Cricetulus griseus: one gene and its partners. The protein of the gene in region 1 interacts with the protein of each later gene in a pairwise test. Links are inferred from orthologs where the notes say so. Each region holds a gene or a part of one and is shown in the gene's direction. Other genes may lie near its edges.

Region 1 (4,250 bases):
CAGAATGGGAATCTTGAGTCTCAGCATGTCCCATAAAGTGAGTGTCCTATACACAAAGAGGCTGAGCCTTGAAAACTGACGAGTACAGATCTTCACAGGAGTCATTCATAGAAATGGGGTTTAAACACAGGCCCAAGGAACGCTGGAGCCCTATTCACTTTCTCGTATTGTAGCTCTCCATTAGAAGCCCTCCTGTGGATTCTCTCCAGTCTGGGTGGCACTGCCCACAGTGCCATTGTCTTAGAGAAATAGGGCTGTTAGAGCTGGTGGCAGAAGACCCTGTCCTTTTTGGCCTCAGTATTGCAGTGACTGATTCCTTGGCCTCTGAGCTCTGATGTGTTCCACCTGCTTGCCAGCCCCCCTTCCTGCCTCCGCCTTCCTCCCTGTACTTAGGCACGCAGAGCAGAGCCTCTAGCTCAGCCCCTCCCCAGCTGGCAGCAGCTGACAAGGCAAATGGGGGTTAATCTGGCCCCTGCTAAGCAGCGACATGTCTCTTGCTGAAGAAGGCGGGGGACTTTCTGGAACTCGCCTGGGTCTTATCTGCAGAGGTTTGCCCCAACGCGTCTTGGGAGCAAGCAGAGGTTCAGTGACATGTGCAGTTGGCTGGTGACAGGACCATCAATCAGACTCCTGTCAGCCTGAGCCTTCTGGGCTTTTGTGAACTAGCCAGGACCCTGGGCTGGGGGGGGAACTGAAGAGGTAGGAGGGACTTCTGGAATTGGGGTGGTGGGAGGGCTGTGAGAGGAGAGAGCATGCCCAGGTATCAGGGATGGGAGAGAGGGACAGGCACCGGCTTTTTTGGTCAACTCGTTTGGAAGTTGACTTGAGACCCTATTAGCCTGCACTGTGGTCACCTGTGTTCTCATTCCCGGGGACTTCCATGTCCCGAAGGCTATGTATAGGGCGTTTGAGTAGGTAGTACAGAGCAGTGGTGGGAGAAACTGAAAGCAGGAAGCTTTCTACCTGGGGTGAGGCTCACATGCCAGCAGTGGGCTGGGGTGGGAGGCAGAGCTGGCCTGGCTGCTCTAACGGGATGGGACATGAGGGAACTTGGGTGCTATGCTGAGGGTTTGCTCTTGTGGCTCTCTTCTCCTTCCTGGAGTGAGAAATGAACCTGTAATCCAAGTGTTAAAACCATGGCCTAGAGCAAAACCCCATTAATTCTGAATCATCTCTCTTGTTGCATTAAGAAAAAAAAAAAAGAAAAGAAAAACTCACCACAAGCGAGCCCTGTGGAGGTGTGCAGGCAGCTGTATTTGTCTGGAAGGCAGAGGAGTTGGCTCCACTCAGGGGGAGGAGGCAAGGCCCCCACCCCCTTGAAACAGTATATAAGGAATCCCAGGCTAGGGGCGACAGCACTGCAGCCTGGTTTCAGCCCAGCTCAGAAGCTCCTGCTAGAGTCCCTCCTGCTTGAAAAGGACACGAAGGCTCAGGCTGCCTGACCATGGCCACCACATTCTTGCAAACTTCTTCCACCTTTGGAGGTGGCTCTACCCGAGGGGGTTCCCTCCGTGCTGGTGGAGGCGGCTTTGGTGGAGGGAGTCTCTACGGGGGAGGTGGGAGCCGAAGCATCTCTGCTTCTTCTGCTAGGTTCGTCTCCTCGGGGGCAGGAGGGGGATATGGGGGCGGTATGAGTTGTGGTTTTGGTGGTGGTGCTGGTAGCGGTTTTGGTGGAGCCTTTGGTGGGGGTTTTGGTGGTGGCTTTGGTGACTTTGGTGGTGGCGATGGAGGTCTCCTCTCTGGCAATGAGAAGATCACCATGCAGAACCTCAATGACCGCCTGGCCTCCTACCTGGACAAAGTACGTGCCCTGGAGCAGGCTAACACGGAGCTGGAGGTGAAAATCCGAGACTGGTACCAGAAGCAGAGCCCAGCCAGTCCGGAGCGAGACTACAGCCATTACTTTAAGACCATGGAAGAGATCCGGGACAAAGTAAGTCCTCATATATATGTCAGACAGAGGGAAACAGGCAGTAGGTGCCCTGTACACATATGCAACAGCAACATTGCTGTTGACTAAGAGAGTCCTTCCCTGCTGTGTAACCTGGCAAGGCTGGGATGCACCTGCTTCCCAGGCACATGTGGGAACACACGTGTTCCACTTGGCAGTGCTGGGGGAGGGGAGGGAGTGGTCTTGGGAATCTGATTTGGATACACAGGATTGCAAATGAGGGCAACAAAAGAGAGCAGCTCCTTCTCCCTGCCTCACAAAAACTTTCAGGGATTTTTGCAACTGATTGCTTTAACTTTGTGACCCGTGTGCTGTTCAGGCACAACCTCAAGAGTCCTAAATGCCAGGGCTGTTTACTTCAGGCCTCAAGGATGTCTTTATTGTTGATCATTGCTAGATCTTAGGAGACCAGGGAACTCAGTGGAGGCTGTGCCACCCCCTCACTTTCCCTTTTAACTAACTGGATCTGTTTTCCTTAGTGGCAAACACGTTCCTTAGCTGCTGTCCAAGTTCCCAATGACTGCAATGTTTTGGAGATGAAGGGCTCTGTCAAGGCACGCAGGAGGCAGCCACTGTGAGCTGTGCCCAAGTAGGCTGGTATAGTGTGTCTCCCGAGAGTCCTGACCTGACAGAGCCAACTGTATCCATTGCAGCACGGTCTTGACTAGCCATGCCCCCAGGCAATCCCAGGCAATACTGCCTCGTTAGTTTTCCATTCCTTGAAGATGCCACAGGGAAGGGAGCATGGGCCAGCACAACTGATGCACACAGGAAGAGAAGCTGGGCAGTAGTTGGCGAAGGGGGTCGTGCAGCAGCCCTAAGGTACAACTCTGTCTCCTGCAGATACTGGCGGCCACCATTGACAACTCGCGTGTCATCTTGGAGATTGACAATGCCAGGCTGGCAGCGGATGACTTCAGGCTCAAGTGTGTTCCCATTTCTCCACCCCTGTCCATTTCACCCCCTCTACCTAGCCTTCCTCCTCTATGACTCAGAACCTGGGCCCCTCACCTTTCCTGACTTTGGCTCCTCTCCCCTCCCCAGGTATGAGAACGAGCTGGCCCTGCGCCAGAGTGTGGAGGCCGACATCAACGGGCTGCGCAGGGTGCTAGACGAGCTGACCCTGGCCAGGACCGACCTGGAGATGCAGATTGAGCACTTGAATGAGGAGCTGGCCTACCTGAAGAAGAATCACGAGGAGGTAACAGCAAGACAGGGTGGTAGGAAGAAGCCCAGGACAGCCAGTCTTTTGTCACAGTCCTCTGAGGGCTTGGGGATTAAGAAATGTACCTGGGGGGCCCCATGGAAGAGAAGGGGCACTAATCTCTGGTAATCTGGACCCAAGGCCAAGCCATGTGTGAACTGCAGAATTGGTTTGCTTCATGGGCTTATTATCTCAAGGTCCTTGTTTCTTAGGACCCAGAGCAAGAGAGATCCTCAGAACTGAGGGGTCCATGTGTTCCAATGGGGAATAGAGATAGGGTGGTGTGATGTGCTAAGGTCACATTGTGAGTTAGAGACAGTCAGAGTTAGCCCTCAGGACTCTCGATTCTTTGTCTGCTTTATAGCCTTGTCTCTAAATGGTTGTCACTCCCACCCCTTGCAGGAGATGAAAGAGTTCAGCAGTCAGCTGGCGGGCCAGGTCAATGTGGAGATGGACGCTGCACCTGGGGTGGACTTGACCCGCATGCTGGCCGAGATGAGGGAACAATATGAGGCCATTGCGGAGAAAAACCGTCGGGATGCAGAGGCCTGGTTCTTCAGTAAGGTGGGCCTGACACCCCCAGCTCTGCTCTCTCCCTCCTTCCCACTCCAGAGGCCTCTGAGGAGGCCCATGAGGCTCATGTTTCTCATGTGTGACTTGCAGACGGAAGAGCTGAACAAGGAGGTAGCTTCCAACACAGAAATGATCCAGTCCAGCAAGACGGAGATCACAGACCTGAGGCGCACCATGCAGGGGCTGGAGATCGAGCTGCAGTCCCAGCTCAGCATGGTACGGTCACTCTCTCCCTACTGGGTGACACATGGCCAGTAAAGCCTCACCTCACACATTCCTGTCACCTCAGGCAGTCCTTACCACCCTTCCTGCTCTTCTCCCTCCAGTGGGTTGCCTTCTAGCCCAATGGGTTTATGCATCTGTCACCCCACCAGAAAGCCGGGCTGGAGAACTCTCTGGCAGAGGTGGAGTGCCGCTATGCCACACAGCTGCAGCAGATCCAGGGGCTTATTAGCAGCCTGGAGAGCCAGCTGAGCGAGCTCCGCTGTGAGATGGAAGCTCAGAACCAGGAATATAACATGC
Region 2 (4,145 bases), on another chromosome or scaffold:
TCTCTCTCTGTGAGTGTGTGTGTGTGCAGGCCTATATTCTAGCCTGGGGGAATCTAAGGCAAGAGGATTAAACAGGCAGGAGGGCTAAACAGTGCTAACAGCGGGCTAAATAGGGAGCCTGTCTGGAAATAAGCAGCTAACAAAAGAAAACAGGAGAAACAAGTGGGATCCTAACATAGAGGAGACAGGTTCAGAGAAGTGAAACTTGTTTTGCATGAGGAAGTTATGCGTATTTTAAAAACAGAGATTAAGATGAAGAGTATTGAAATTAGTTAAAAAGGTCGCACAGGAGAAAACCACAGTAGAAGACTGAAGCCGGGGAAGCTGAGATTTACCGGGACCGAGTCAGTGGGAAAAGTCTGCAAATGTGGAGAGGCAAAAGAGAACTGGGAACGAAAACAATGACTGACAATCTGCCCTAGAGAGCCCACCAAGGAATTTCTTTGTAGCGCATAAAAGCTGACATCTGATATGCTGAAGTATTAACGAGACTGCTGTCCACTTTATTTCCCACGTGCACGGATCTTCTGCTTAGTTACAGGAAAAAAAAACCGGAGCTGTCTGTTCCAAAAAGCTTATCCAAATGAACTGAAGCACGAAGAAGACAAATAAACTGTCTTCTGATGTCAAAAAGTTGGAGGGATCATTTAATGTTGAAATCAAGTTATGCTCATTATTGTCGATCTGGTAGTTAACTTTATTATCATTACATTTGGCTGAGTCATTCCTGGGCCCTAAGTAGAAACGGTCAGATTTGCCACGTGAGAGTAAAACGTTAAAAGAGCAAAATGATTAGATTGGCCTTAGAAACTACTCTGGAACGATAACGAAAGAATAGTAAATCTAAAGCAAGTGCCAAAGCATTGAGAGGGAAGACAGCCCAGGAGCATGTAGCCTGAAGCTTTGTAGCCCTACCTGGGGCCTGGGCGCAGCAGCCAAATGCGCTCAGAAGAGCGATCAGCAGTCCCACTCCCGCTAGCCAGGCGAACCCCCAATCCTGTGGCCGGTTGACTCCGCAGCCCATCTAGGGGCCCCACCCTTCTCCAGACACGGGCACACCCTAAGGTCTGGGAGCATCATCTCAGAGAGATGCAAGTTCTTCTTTGATGTAGCTCCAGAAAAGCCTCTCCTACCCTTGCTCCTCTCCCCAAGGGCAGCGCTGATCTGAGCTGCAGAGTTGGCTGCATTCTGTGTCAGGTGACCCTTCTGCACCCACACCCCACCTTTCTGCATCCCAAACCCGCCCGGGCAGCTCCGGACCGCTTGTGGACTGCGCCTGCGCACGTCCGGGGGCTGGAAGGTCGCAACCAGAGGTGGCGCTCTGGTCTCCAGGCAACGGGGATACCGAGGTGGACAGAGAGCGCCTGCGCGGACAGCGGTTGGGTGAAGTCAGGTGTGGAAAACTAGGTCTTGGAGATTTTTCCCTAAGCAGGAGCGGCCCCCGAGCGCCTCAGGTACGCGAAAAGGAGGGGAGACACCGAATGGATACCACGACCTCCCAAGGGACTGAAGAGTGAGAGTTTATCTCTAGAGGCTGTGTCCCAAGGAGAGTTACGGTTTGACCCCCTGGGACTGAACGTGACTTCCGAGATCCGGATCTAAAGCGCGCTGGGGCGATCAGGTGTCCACCCCCTGGCCCAACACCCTGGTACCCGGTGCGGTTTGTGCCATCGGACATTTGGGGATGAGTGTTTGACAGCTGAGCACCCGCTTCCAGCCCGGGCGGCCCCAGCAGGGGAGAGCCCAGGGAGAGCTTTCCCTCGCGGGGCCAAGGCTCTCCCTCACCCTGTAAAAATGTGGGCCTGGACTCAGAGCGGACTCTGCAGTTTGCGAGAACCGGGGCTAGTAAGGAACAGGCTGCCTGCTTTTTTTGTTTTGTTTTGTTTTGTTACAGATGACCTTCAATCTAAGGCCATTTCCACCCATTCCATAATAGTGTATGGCAGATCAGATACGGGTGTGGCAGAAAGCCAGTGGCTGAACACCTGTGTCCCGTTCATGTTTTGGTCCTGGGCCTCAGCAATGTCTGGCACAGAACCCTCACTCACTGAGTGCGTACTGAAGCAAGGTCCAGGCCGATCGAGCGCCACAGTCCCAGGAAACGAGAAATGTTTAAAGGGAACGTGGGTAGGTAGGTTTACTCTAGCAGCTGGGAGTGAACCTCAGACAAATTCTTCACATGTATCTGTTTTAAATCTCCCCTAGGCATCGGTCCAGGCCCTGAATGGCTGGCCTCCAGTTGGCTCCACATCTGCCTGTGGGCGTTATGTTCCCACATAGTAAAACAGAAGCGCCAGGGCTCCACTCAGCTAAGCACGACCCTTACGAACAACGTGACTCTTCCCAGCGGTCCTCGGTGGGACACTTGAGGAACAATTTCCAGCAGAAGCATTGGAGCAACACAGAACTGGAGCAGGAGGAGGGTGTCTCCACTTACCCCCAAAGGAACATCTGCGCCAAAGCCCGGAGGCACTCCTGCCCCCACAGTGCCAGGATCAGCCAGCGAAGCCCAGGGAGCAATCCCCAGGGCCAAGGAAAGGCTTTGTCTTCCTTGTCAAGCCCTCCGCCCCGGTATCACAAAGCAAACGACCAGGACTTCATTCCCTTTAGGAAGAAGCGAATTGGCGTGGACCGGGCATACCCACTGAAACCCATGGTCCACCGGAAGTCTCTCAGTACAGGCGAGGCAGGCACTGGTGATGGAGACCAGAATGTCTACCCAAGACTTCCTGAGTTTTCAGACAGCAACTTTGGTTTGAGGAGCTGGGTGAATTCATCTATTCTTGCCTCTGTGCAGGCAGAGGAGGTCATGGCAGACCTCCACAGGACCAGGCCCGAGTGGACGCAGATCCAAAGACTAGAAGCTGCAGGGGAGACTTTACAGAGGGAAATCCGAAGGAAGGAGACCCTCCTGAGAGAGAAGCTGAAGAAGACAGAGGAGGGTCTCCGAAGGATCCAGAAGGAAAAGAAACAGGCCCAGCAAAATGAAGACAGAGAGCTACCAAGGATGATGCCTGCCGGGAGAGTTAGAGAAAGTGGCTGCAATGCCGCCTTATCCCCCGAGTTCAGTTCTGAGATGCTCAGTAGAAACAGGAGAGAGGCTCAACCTTGTGAACGGGCTCAGGAAGACTCCAGTCCACTCCAGTTCTCTGACTATGAAATCCAGAGGCTCAAAAGGGAAAGGCTGATGGCCAGCAACCGCAAGGTGCGAGACTCAGCGACACCGGCAGAAGAGTTCTCGAAACCTTCAGAAGAGCTGGGTAGCACACCGCAGGCATCAAGCCTGTCGGGAACGCCGGCCTCCTCGGAGTCCAGCTCCTCCACAGAAGAGCCAGAGCTGGGCAAGTGCAGCTACTGTGGACGCACGTTTCTTTGGCTCAGGCTGCAGAGACACTCTGCCGTCTGTGGCAAGATGCAAGGGTCCAGGAGGAAAGTGTTTGACTCCTCCAGGGCCCGGGCTAAAGGCACAGAACTAGAGCAGTTCTTGAACTGGAAGGGGCCAGCCACAGCCAAGGTAATAAAAGCCTCCTGGATCTGACTTGGTATGGGGGTGCGTGTGATGGCCCGCTGTGTCCTCACCGGTTTCCAATGGGGAACTGGGATCATGTAGGGTGGAGGGGAGAATCACAACTTCTGTTTGCTAGTCTCTGTGATCAGAGCTTTTCGTAGGCGCTTCACAATTCCGTGAGAATCTTACCGCCTCTCATTGTATCCTTTCAAAACTCAAGGCTCGGACATCCCCTAAACACATATGCACACTCAACACATACCAGACCCATCCACACACACACCAGACCCCCCCCCACACACACACACACAAAGCTTGAATGGTTCTATCTATTGTGTTGTCCTCAGGGACCTGTAGGTGCCAGATAACCAGTCTATTGCTGATCAGTAGTCCCGTCCCCGTCCCCCCCCGCCCCGTCTCCCCTCCTATCCCCCCACCCCCCGCTCTTGAGTTAGTTACTCTCTTCACACCTTTATGAGGTGGGGGGGTCAATATTTAAATCTTACTAAAATTGACACCAAAATCTGGACTTTAAAATATATCCTTTTGATTATTGTAAAACGAATTCATGTTTGCTGCAGGAAAAAAAAAAAAAAACAAGACATAAAATGAAATTTTAAAACTTGCATTTTATGTT
Region 3 (4,305 bases), on another chromosome or scaffold:
CTACACCCATGAATAGTTGGGCAGCAGATTGGACTTGGTGGGTTATAAAAAACAAAAGGAAAGGAAGGAGAGAATGAGGATGGATGTAGGAGGAGTTGGGGGGGAAAGTGGAGCAAATATGATCAAAATACATTGTATGTATGTATGTATGTATGTATGTATGACATTCTCAAAGAGTGAATGGAAGCATATTTAAATGCAAAAGAGTTAGCTGCTGTTTTGTAAATAGGAGATGCTTTTTGTATGAATAATATGGTTATGTATTTACTACCTATTCATGCTGTAAGGAGTGCTTTGAAACATGCTTAAAACATAACACTATGGGGCTGCAGAGATGGCTTAGTGTTTGAGAGCACTGGCTGCTCTTCCAGAGGACCTAGGTTCAGTTCCTAGCACCCACATGGCAGCTCATAACTGTCTGTAACTCTAGTTCCAGGGGATCCAACAGTTATATAGACATACATGCAGGCAAAACATCAATGCATATAAAATTAAAAATAAATAAAATTTAAAAATCCGGCAACACTTCCTAGCATTCCTCCATTATTTTAAAATGCTATTTAATTGCATCATTTTAAGTTACTGCATAATATTCCTAACCAGAAAAATGTAGATAGTTGAAGGTAGGTATTGATAAGATTTATGTAGAAAGATCAATTTAGCTTCTTCCCAGGATGGATATTATATACTGTAATTGGCCTGATTTTTTTTTTTTTTTCTGTTTTGGTTTTTTCGAGACAGGGTTTCTCTGTGGCTTTGGAGGTTGTTCTGGAACTAGCTCTTGTAGACCAGGCTGGTCTTGAACTCACAGAGATCCTCCTGCCTCTGCCTCCCGAGTGTTGGGATTAAAGGCGTGCGCCACCAACGCCCGGCTATTGGCCTGATTTTGATAAGCATTGTGGGAATTACTGGTGTGCACGTTTGAAAACTAACTGAATTACCATTGCAGTAGGGTAATGGAGAGGGAGAGGGGATCCTGGAAAACACAGAGAGGAAGCTGCAGAGTTGGGAGCAGGACCTAGGTTGGCTGCTGGGCAAGTAATACCAACTCGTCGGTACGCTGAGGCAGGCAGATAACAAGTTTGAGGGCTACTTGGACCACAGCGTGAATTTAAGGTCAGCTTGGGCAACTTAGTGAGACCCTGTCTCAAAAGAAAAAAGTGAAGAGAGGCCAGTATGTGCTAGCTATATGTCAAGGCCCTTCCTAAAAAAGAAAAAAAAAAAAATGGGACTAGGGCCGGTGCAAAACCAAACAAATCTGGGACTAGCAACTCCTGCAGGTGGGGACCGAGGGAATCCCAGCTGGACGAGAAGAAGAAGAAAGGGAACGCATTGGCCGGCAGGGCCGGGGCAGCCGGAAGGCCGCGCGGCCAGCTGGGCTCCTGGCGGCCACCGTGGGCCAGCCCCGCTCCCATCTGCTGCTCCTGAGGTTGCCTGGCAACTCGGGTGGCGCGCCGTTCGAACGGAAGCGAAGGGCCAATCAGGAAGTCCGGGGCGAACCATTGCAGCGACGGGGACCGCTCGCTCACTTCCCTTTCCTCCGGGCTCTGGGGACCTTCGTCCGGCAGGACGGTAGGACAGCCAAGGCCTGCCTCTCGGAAGAGCCCGCCTGTCTCAACACGCGACGGCCGCCTCAGAGCTCTGGGACCAAGCGCTCCAGCTGTCAGCCTCGGCAGCTCGCGAGAAGCGCGGGGGACCCTCCAGACACAGGCGGCAGGTGAGCATGGGGGTAAGGGGGCTCACAGGGTCTGGGGTAGGTCCACGCACCATTCGAGGCGAGTGTGCCAGCACAGAGGGCTGACCGAGGGTCCACGTCTATCTAGTGTCCAGCCCAGGGGGCCAGCGGAGGATCCGGCTGTTCCCCTGTCCCACCCTGCAGCCTCCACTCCAGGCAGATTTTCTTTGAGAGGTTCAGAGGGCCCCTGCTGGTCACTCTCAGGGGCTTGTTGAATGTGGCTTATGGGATCTCAGGGCTAGGCTACCTCTACCCCAACTGTCTTTGGAGTTTCCCTTCAGGACATATGGCCTTCCGTTCCTCAGGGACTCTGGCAACTTTTCTGCCTGAATGGTCCGGAATCCCAGTGCTGCCCTCTCAGAGGGCCTCCCTGGGGGGCAGGCTAGATTCCGGAGGACAGAAAATCCAAATGCCCTGGAAGTCATGTGGGCCTCTTGGGAGTCTGTTCCTGTGTGTGGTGTGTAGTGTGTGTGTGTGTGTGTGTGTGTGTGTGTGTGTGTGTGTGTGTGTGTGTACTTTGGTGTGTGTGTACTTTGTGTGTTGGAGGCGGGTGGATCAGCCTCTAAGCCAGAGTTGCTAGTCACTGGACTTTAGAGTTGGGTGCTGGGTAGGCCCTCCCAAATGGAGCATATAATTTAGGCTGCCTATGTTCCCCGCTCAGGTTGCTGTCTGTTGTTGATCTCTTTTCATAGATGGGGAAACTGAGGTTCTGAGAAGTTGAGCCCATTGCTCAAAGTCACAGTCTTACCTATTCAGAGAAGAACTGGATTTGATGGAGGGCCTCTTTTGTGGGGAACTGCTCATCCTCCACTCCTCATTCTGGCTCTGGGGGTAGTCTGTGTTTGCCTGTCTGTCCATGTGTCATCTCCTCCTACCCTGAGGGTCTTGTGTGGCCCAAGTTGGCTTCAGTCTTACTATGTATACTAGGCTGGTCTTGAACGTCCCCCTGAATCTGTCTTCTCTGATGACAAGCATGGGTCCCCACTACACCAGTTTTTTTGTCATTTTTAGGATGAAACCCAGGGCTTGGTGCGTGCTAAGCAAGCACTCTACCAACTGTGTTACACCCACTGAACATATACCTCCTGAGCCTACACCCCCTGCCTCATTTGTTCTTTCTACATTGTTTGGCTTCCTGTGGCCGCCTTGTTTTTCTCAGTAGTGTCTGTTCCACATTGTACACTAGGTGTCTTACTAGGCAGTTTATTGTCTTCTCCACTTGAATGTGTCAGACAGGTAAGATGCTTAGCACAGTCACAAAATGTCAGGGTGCCCGAAACTTCCAGAACCAAGATGATCAAAGCCAACGTCTGTTGGCCATTTGCTATGTTTTGTGCCAGGGGTGGAGCAGGGTAGGGTGATGTCAGCTCTGGCAGACTCTGGCAAGCACAGGCATGGATGTTACACACACACACACACACACACACACACACACACACACACACACACGCATTCTGCACCCTCCCACCCCATCCAGCTACCTCATTTTTAGGCAAAATGACAGGTGCTACATTGCGGCCATGGCTTGTTGCAAGCGGGAACTGGACAGATGCATAGTGGCCAGTAGGGGCTGATGAGAAATAACCGGAAACTCCTTAAGTACTGATGTGGCACCAAGAGGAACGTGGGTTACCCAGCAAAGGCGCTGAGTGAAAATGACACACACGACACACTTTGTAGTTTCGACCGTGGGACAGCTAATTCAGAAGCCACTAAGTAGACATGGTGATTACATCTCCAGAAAGCTATGAGGTCACTGCTCTGCCTGTGATTTGTCACTGGCTGTGTGACTTTGGGCAAGTTTCTTCACATTCTGAGCTGGGGATAAACACTGCATGTGAGCTCAGGCCTAGACAGGGTACTGTAGGACAGGAAATGGGCGTGGCCACAGGTCTAACTCAAGCCTTACCTTCCCAGCCTTTCCCTTCCTTCTCCCTCTTCCACTGTAAATCTGCCTTTGCTCCCATTTTGTCAGGGTGCAAACTGAGTCCCCAAAGTTTGAATTAGAGGAGGAGCATATATTGGGGGCGGGGGTCCGTAAAGACGCTCACTGTCCTAGGCATCCACACCCACTCATAACCCTCTCCCTGAGGTTCGTGCAAAGCCACTCTGAGCAAGGCTGCCTCATAGGCAGGCTGGGGCATGATCCTGGGGAAAACTCCAGAAATAGCTTGGAACCTGGCCTGCCCTGGAGAATGCCCAGTCGGGTGTCTCTGACCTGGACAGCTGGGCTGGCTCTACCCCACTGCCTGGAGCCTTCTTGATCCTCCTCAGCAGCAACTAAAGGCCTCCCTGTCTACCAAGCCTGAGCCAGGTTTCCTTTGAAAGGACAGAGGAGCAGGTGGGGTGGTGCAAAATGTCGTAAAAATGGTCAACCCTAGAAACCCACCTTCTTCGGGGAAGAAAGGAAGCAAAGGGAAGAGTGAACACACAGCTGCTTGGGCTCAGACCACTTGCAATGTACTCCGTATTTTACCATTCTGAGTTGCGATGTACCTCCACCCTATGAAGTGAGGGGCTTACTGCTTTTATTCCATGAACACATATTCCACATAACAGGCATGTGGAAG
Region 4 (4,162 bases), on another chromosome or scaffold:
TAAATCTTTTTAAAAAATCAAGAGGGGGGAAAAATTCAAGATTTGCCTTGGCTTTTTCTTTAAGAGGAAGCCCAGCAGAGTTAGCATTTCACTTTTGTTTTTACATGTGTTTGTTTGTACGTGCACATGTAGCAGTCAGAGAACAAACCCACATGAGTTGGTTCTCTCCTTCCACCTCATGAATTCTGGAAAGCAAACTGAGGTTGTCAGGCTTGGTGGCAAGTGCTTTTATCCACTAGACATCCTTATGGCCAACTTCTGCTTTTTCTGAAGAGTTCAGAGAATTCTTCCCATTGACGTGGTTACCAACTCCAGTCATCATTCACCACTAGCCCTACACAAATAAAAAGAGCAGGGTGCCTTTAAGAGTGACTGATTCCTTAAGGATATTATCCAACTAATCAATAAATAAATAACTTTTAGAAGTCAGGTTTACTTAAGATTAAAATACAAGTTGCCTCTCTTTTTATTCTAATGCTAATAGCATAAAATATTTATCCTTTATTGGGGCAAGTCACCAAATGAACCACCATACTGTGCTGGAATTTACTACCTATCTGTATGTGTTCTCCCTAGGCTTCAGCTACATCGTGCAGCAGATGGCTATAATAGTGGTTCTCATTTTACAGGACCACTAAAAAGATTAAGTGAGAAAACTAATGCATGCAAAATACTCGTCACAGTGTCTAATAAGTAATGCACTAAATAAGTAGCCCATAGGATGAGTTGTTTGAATGGAAATGTGATAGTATCATGTCGAACAGACATAATCTTCCTTATCTGTTTATTATTGTTGTTATTATTGATTTATCTGCTAGGATTTTTATTATTTATCTGATCGATTGGGCTCCGTAAATATTGTTATGACATGTACTTGATTGTTCGTTTAAATAAATGCATTTTTAAATATAAATAAATAAAATGAAAGGGTAGGCATAAAGAAAAGAGCCTGTAGAATAGATCATTCCCGGCCCGGTAGGAAAGCGTGGAGGAACATTAAGCCTTCCCTAAAAGCTGAAAGCTGATATGCCGCCTTCTCCCGTGACGTGACCGTCTGTCTCAGTCCTTCCAACCGCCCGGACCTGTTACATTCCAGTCCACTTCTTTCCTTGCGCCACCGGCTCCAAACAGGCGTGCTTTTGCTGCACGTGGTTCTCTGTATATAGTGGTTGCCTGGGAGATTCACGCAGGGCGGGGCCCCATTGACGCCACAATAGGAACAAGCCAATAGCCATGACGTATATCAGTGATGCGAACTCGGGGTGTGGCTTTCCCGGCCCGGGCGCAATGAGGCGGCTGCCCGCTGGGTGGCGCCGATTTCCCGGGGAGGTCCTTTCTGGGCCCCCGGCGGAGGTGGGGGAGAGGCGGGCAAGCACCGAGCGAGGCCAGGGAGCCCTCTGCGTCAGCCACAGCTCGCTGCGCCGCGCCAGTACCAGCCAGGACTCATCCGCAGCTCCATGCTTGTGCCGGGTTCGACTCGTCCATCCTCCGAGAAGAGGCAGGTACGTGCCACCTGTCGCAGATCGGGGAAGGGGAAAGCCGGGGTCGGTGCCAGCTTGGAGGTTCGGAAAGTAGGGTGTCAACGACAGCCTGGGCAGTCTGGACATGAGAAATGTAGGGCGAGGGCCAACTGTGCGGGGGAACTCCAGCTGTGGGTGCCAGTGTGTGAGAGGGACTGACAGCTGACAGCTCGGGGTGCCAGGAAGAGCCATCTGTGTGCTGATCAATGTGTTCTGAGGAAACAGTTACCGCGGGTACAGGTCCCCGTGCCCGGTGTGGTGTGTAGCCTGAGAATGACGCCTGGACCCTGACACCCCCCTCTCCCCACGTGTGCGTGCAGCTACCTCCCTCCCTGATGTCAAACCTCCTGGGGCTGTCTCTGGTCAGTTTTCCAAAGCGGGGGAAGGGGGCTCAGGGGGAAGCCAGCAGTTAAACGGAAGGGAAATTTTCCACCAATCCCAAATCAGAAAGAGGCAACTTTAAAATTCTCACCAATCCCAAAGCAAAAGCAGCCATGCAGTGTTCCCAGACAAGCAGCTTGCCAAGCGGAGTCCTGGCCAAGCCCTTCTAGCTCTTCAGAGAAGGGAGAACTCTTAGCTCTTGACCCCCAGTGCTTTTGAGAATGAGGTTGCAATGAAGATCTCAGTAGGGGCTGCTTATCTCTCCAAATGTAAGGAAAAGCACACACATCAATCCGCCTACAAAACAAGAGGCATGGAGAACTAGTAGGTGGGCTAGAATAGAGGGTGTCCCCTACTCTTTGATGCTGTAGGTGCAAGCCACTCTGGAATGAGGACTGGAATGAGGGCGTCCTCTGGAGTGCATAGTCAGGACCCAGTCTGAGTCAGTACCCCGTGCTGAGACAGGGTGGAGGCACCAGCCCTGGGGCCTTCCAGTCTTCAGGGAGAGCCATCAAGAAACAGAAGAATCGTCTTGGGAGCAGACAGGTGCACCAAGACCAGAGAGTCCCTCCTCTAGTAATCCCTGTCCAGCCTGCCTTTGCCGCCCTGGAACCCTGAGTCCTCCAACAGGTAGACTGGGACTGCCCCTCTGGAGCTAGGCATTTTCCTGGCAGCCCAGGGAAACCGCACTTGATATTTTTTTCTGAGCAAAGGGGAAAGAAGCCCAAGTAGGCTTGGCCTATCGCCTTGGGAAGGTGGCAAGATTCGTCTACCCTTTCCATTTTGGGGACTGGGCTAGTTCAGAAAACCACAGGACTGGTCTCTGGCATCAGAGCAATTCCCCGAGGGGGTGCCCTGAGGCCTTTTTCTTCTAGGAAGGGTCACCTTCTAGGAAAGGTTGCCTGCTACTGCTAACATTAGTAGTAAGTAATTAGATAAGAAATGGAAATAATCAATAAGATTGCCATTTATTGAACTCTTGCTATGTTCAAGGAAGCTTAAAACTATGATTTTTGTCCTCATCACTGTGAGGCATACCATAATCACTATTGTTGTTATTCGTAGTTTTTTTCGTTTGTTTGTTGGTGCATTCATTTGGGTTTTTGTTTGTTTTTGGTTTTTTCAAGACAGGGTTTTTCTGGGTATCCCTGGCTTTCTGCTTTGTAGACTGGTGGTCCTTAAATTCATAGATCTTCCTGCCTCTGCCTCCCATTGGGATTAAAGGCCTGTGTGCCACCAGCCCTAGTTCTATTGTTCGGGTTTTACAAATTACATAGCTAAGATTCAGAGAGCCTACCTTAGATCCAATAAGGGGAAGGATGGGAATTCAGGCCCAGACCTAGAGGTCCACAATTAAAAAAAAAAAAAAAAAATAGTGGACTGAAACTTGAATGCTGATCCCAAGCACATCTCTGCCCATGTGTCCTGGAGCAGGTCCTCCCCATCTCAGAATCCCTTGCAACTGGACTCGCAGTTTGGCCTGTTCCTGTTCACTCAGTCTGTGACTGACAGCTCTAGAGAATCCACCTTCTCCATGTTTGGGACTCCAATTCAGCCCCAGCCCTCTGCTCTATTCCCTCTTGATCCTTCCTGTTTTAGTTCCAAATATCCCCTCCCAGGATTCTAGCTGGTTCTCCTCAGCTATCACCCGGCCACTGGGCATCAGGTGGAAGGTGGGCATGTCACTGCCCCTTTAATTCTCCTGGGGCTTGGAATGCAAGTGAGTTGCCATCTCTTCGAGGTCAGATAAGATACTATATATATCTAGCTAGTAACCTGAGCTCCGGATTACCCAGCCCCAGTTAGACTCCAGCTTCTGGACTCTACACTGCGGTCCCATCACTGCTGGGAAAGAAACCCCCAGCTCCCATCCAGTGCTCCTGGACACAGGTCAGTAGCTCTCTCTTTGGTCTCTGAGTTTCAAGGGCAACCGAGTGACCCAAGTAAGCCCTGAGTGAGTTTGGAGGAGCATGATAGACGCCACCCACTGGCCTGGTGATCGCAGTAACCAAGCCTGAATGCTCAAGATAGAGAACAGAGGACAGCTGATGCCCTAATGGGAAAGAGATAGGATTCTGTCCAAAGAAGGGGGCACTGGGAGGGTACCTGAGCATAGGAGGATAAGAAAGAGAATTGAAAGGTATCTCTGCTTCCAGGAAGCCTGTTTCTTTGCCTTTTTTTGGACTTACAGAGATAACCACCCTTCCCAACCCCTGGGCCTACCCACTTCTTCTCCACAAGTCAGGGTGGCTATTGTCATC

The links.
Region 2: the proteins of Krt15 (region 1) and Zc2hc1c interact in binary tests that used the Homo sapiens proteins (3 or more experiments, as listed by UniProt). The two-hybrid records come from large-scale screens. The link is inferred for Cricetulus griseus from reciprocal best matches to the Homo sapiens genes KRT15 and ZC2HC1C.
Region 3: the proteins of Krt15 (region 1) and Fam110a interact in a two-hybrid assay, tested with the Homo sapiens proteins (2 studies listed by BioGRID and IntAct). The two-hybrid records come from large-scale screens. The link is inferred for Cricetulus griseus from reciprocal best matches to the Homo sapiens genes KRT15 and FAM110A.
Region 4: the proteins of Krt15 (region 1) and Usp2 interact in binary tests that used the Homo sapiens proteins (3 or more experiments, as listed by UniProt). The two-hybrid records come from large-scale screens. The link is inferred for Cricetulus griseus from reciprocal best matches to the Homo sapiens genes KRT15 and USP2.

What each region holds. Positions count from the first base shown.
Region 1 is NC_048600.1:112,452,054-112,456,303, forward strand, and holds the start of Krt15 (keratin, type I cytoskeletal 15), read left to right. Parts: upstream 1-1,444; coding exon 1,445-1,933; intron 1,934-2,794; coding exon 2,795-2,877; intron 2,878-2,995; coding exon 2,996-3,152; intron 3,153-3,557; coding exon 3,558-3,719; intron 3,720-3,818; coding exon 3,819-3,944; intron 3,945-4,102; coding exon 4,103-4,250.
Region 2 is NC_048598.1:118,492,747-118,496,891, reverse strand, and holds the start of Zc2hc1c (zinc finger C2HC domain-containing protein 1C), read left to right. Parts: upstream 1-1,343; 5' UTR 1,344-1,454; exon of another isoform or gene 1,455-2,127; intron 2,128-2,205; 5' UTR 2,206-2,224; coding exon 2,225-3,514; intron 3,515-4,145. Other genes in the region: Acyp1 (acylphosphatase-1), read right to left, coding at 916-1,024.
Region 3 is NC_048599.1:28,036,666-28,040,970, forward strand, and holds the start of Fam110a (protein FAM110A), read left to right. Parts: upstream 1-1,503; 5' UTR 1,504-1,717; intron 1,718-4,305.
Region 4 is NC_048597.1:155,764,871-155,769,032, forward strand, and holds the start of Usp2 (ubiquitin carboxyl-terminal hydrolase 2), read left to right. Parts: upstream 1-1,360; 5' UTR 1,361-1,502; intron 1,503-4,162. UniProt on the Homo sapiens protein: Hydrolase that deubiquitinates polyubiquitinated target proteins such as MDM2, MDM4 and CCND1. Isoform 1 and isoform 4 possess both ubiquitin-specific peptidase and isopeptidase activities.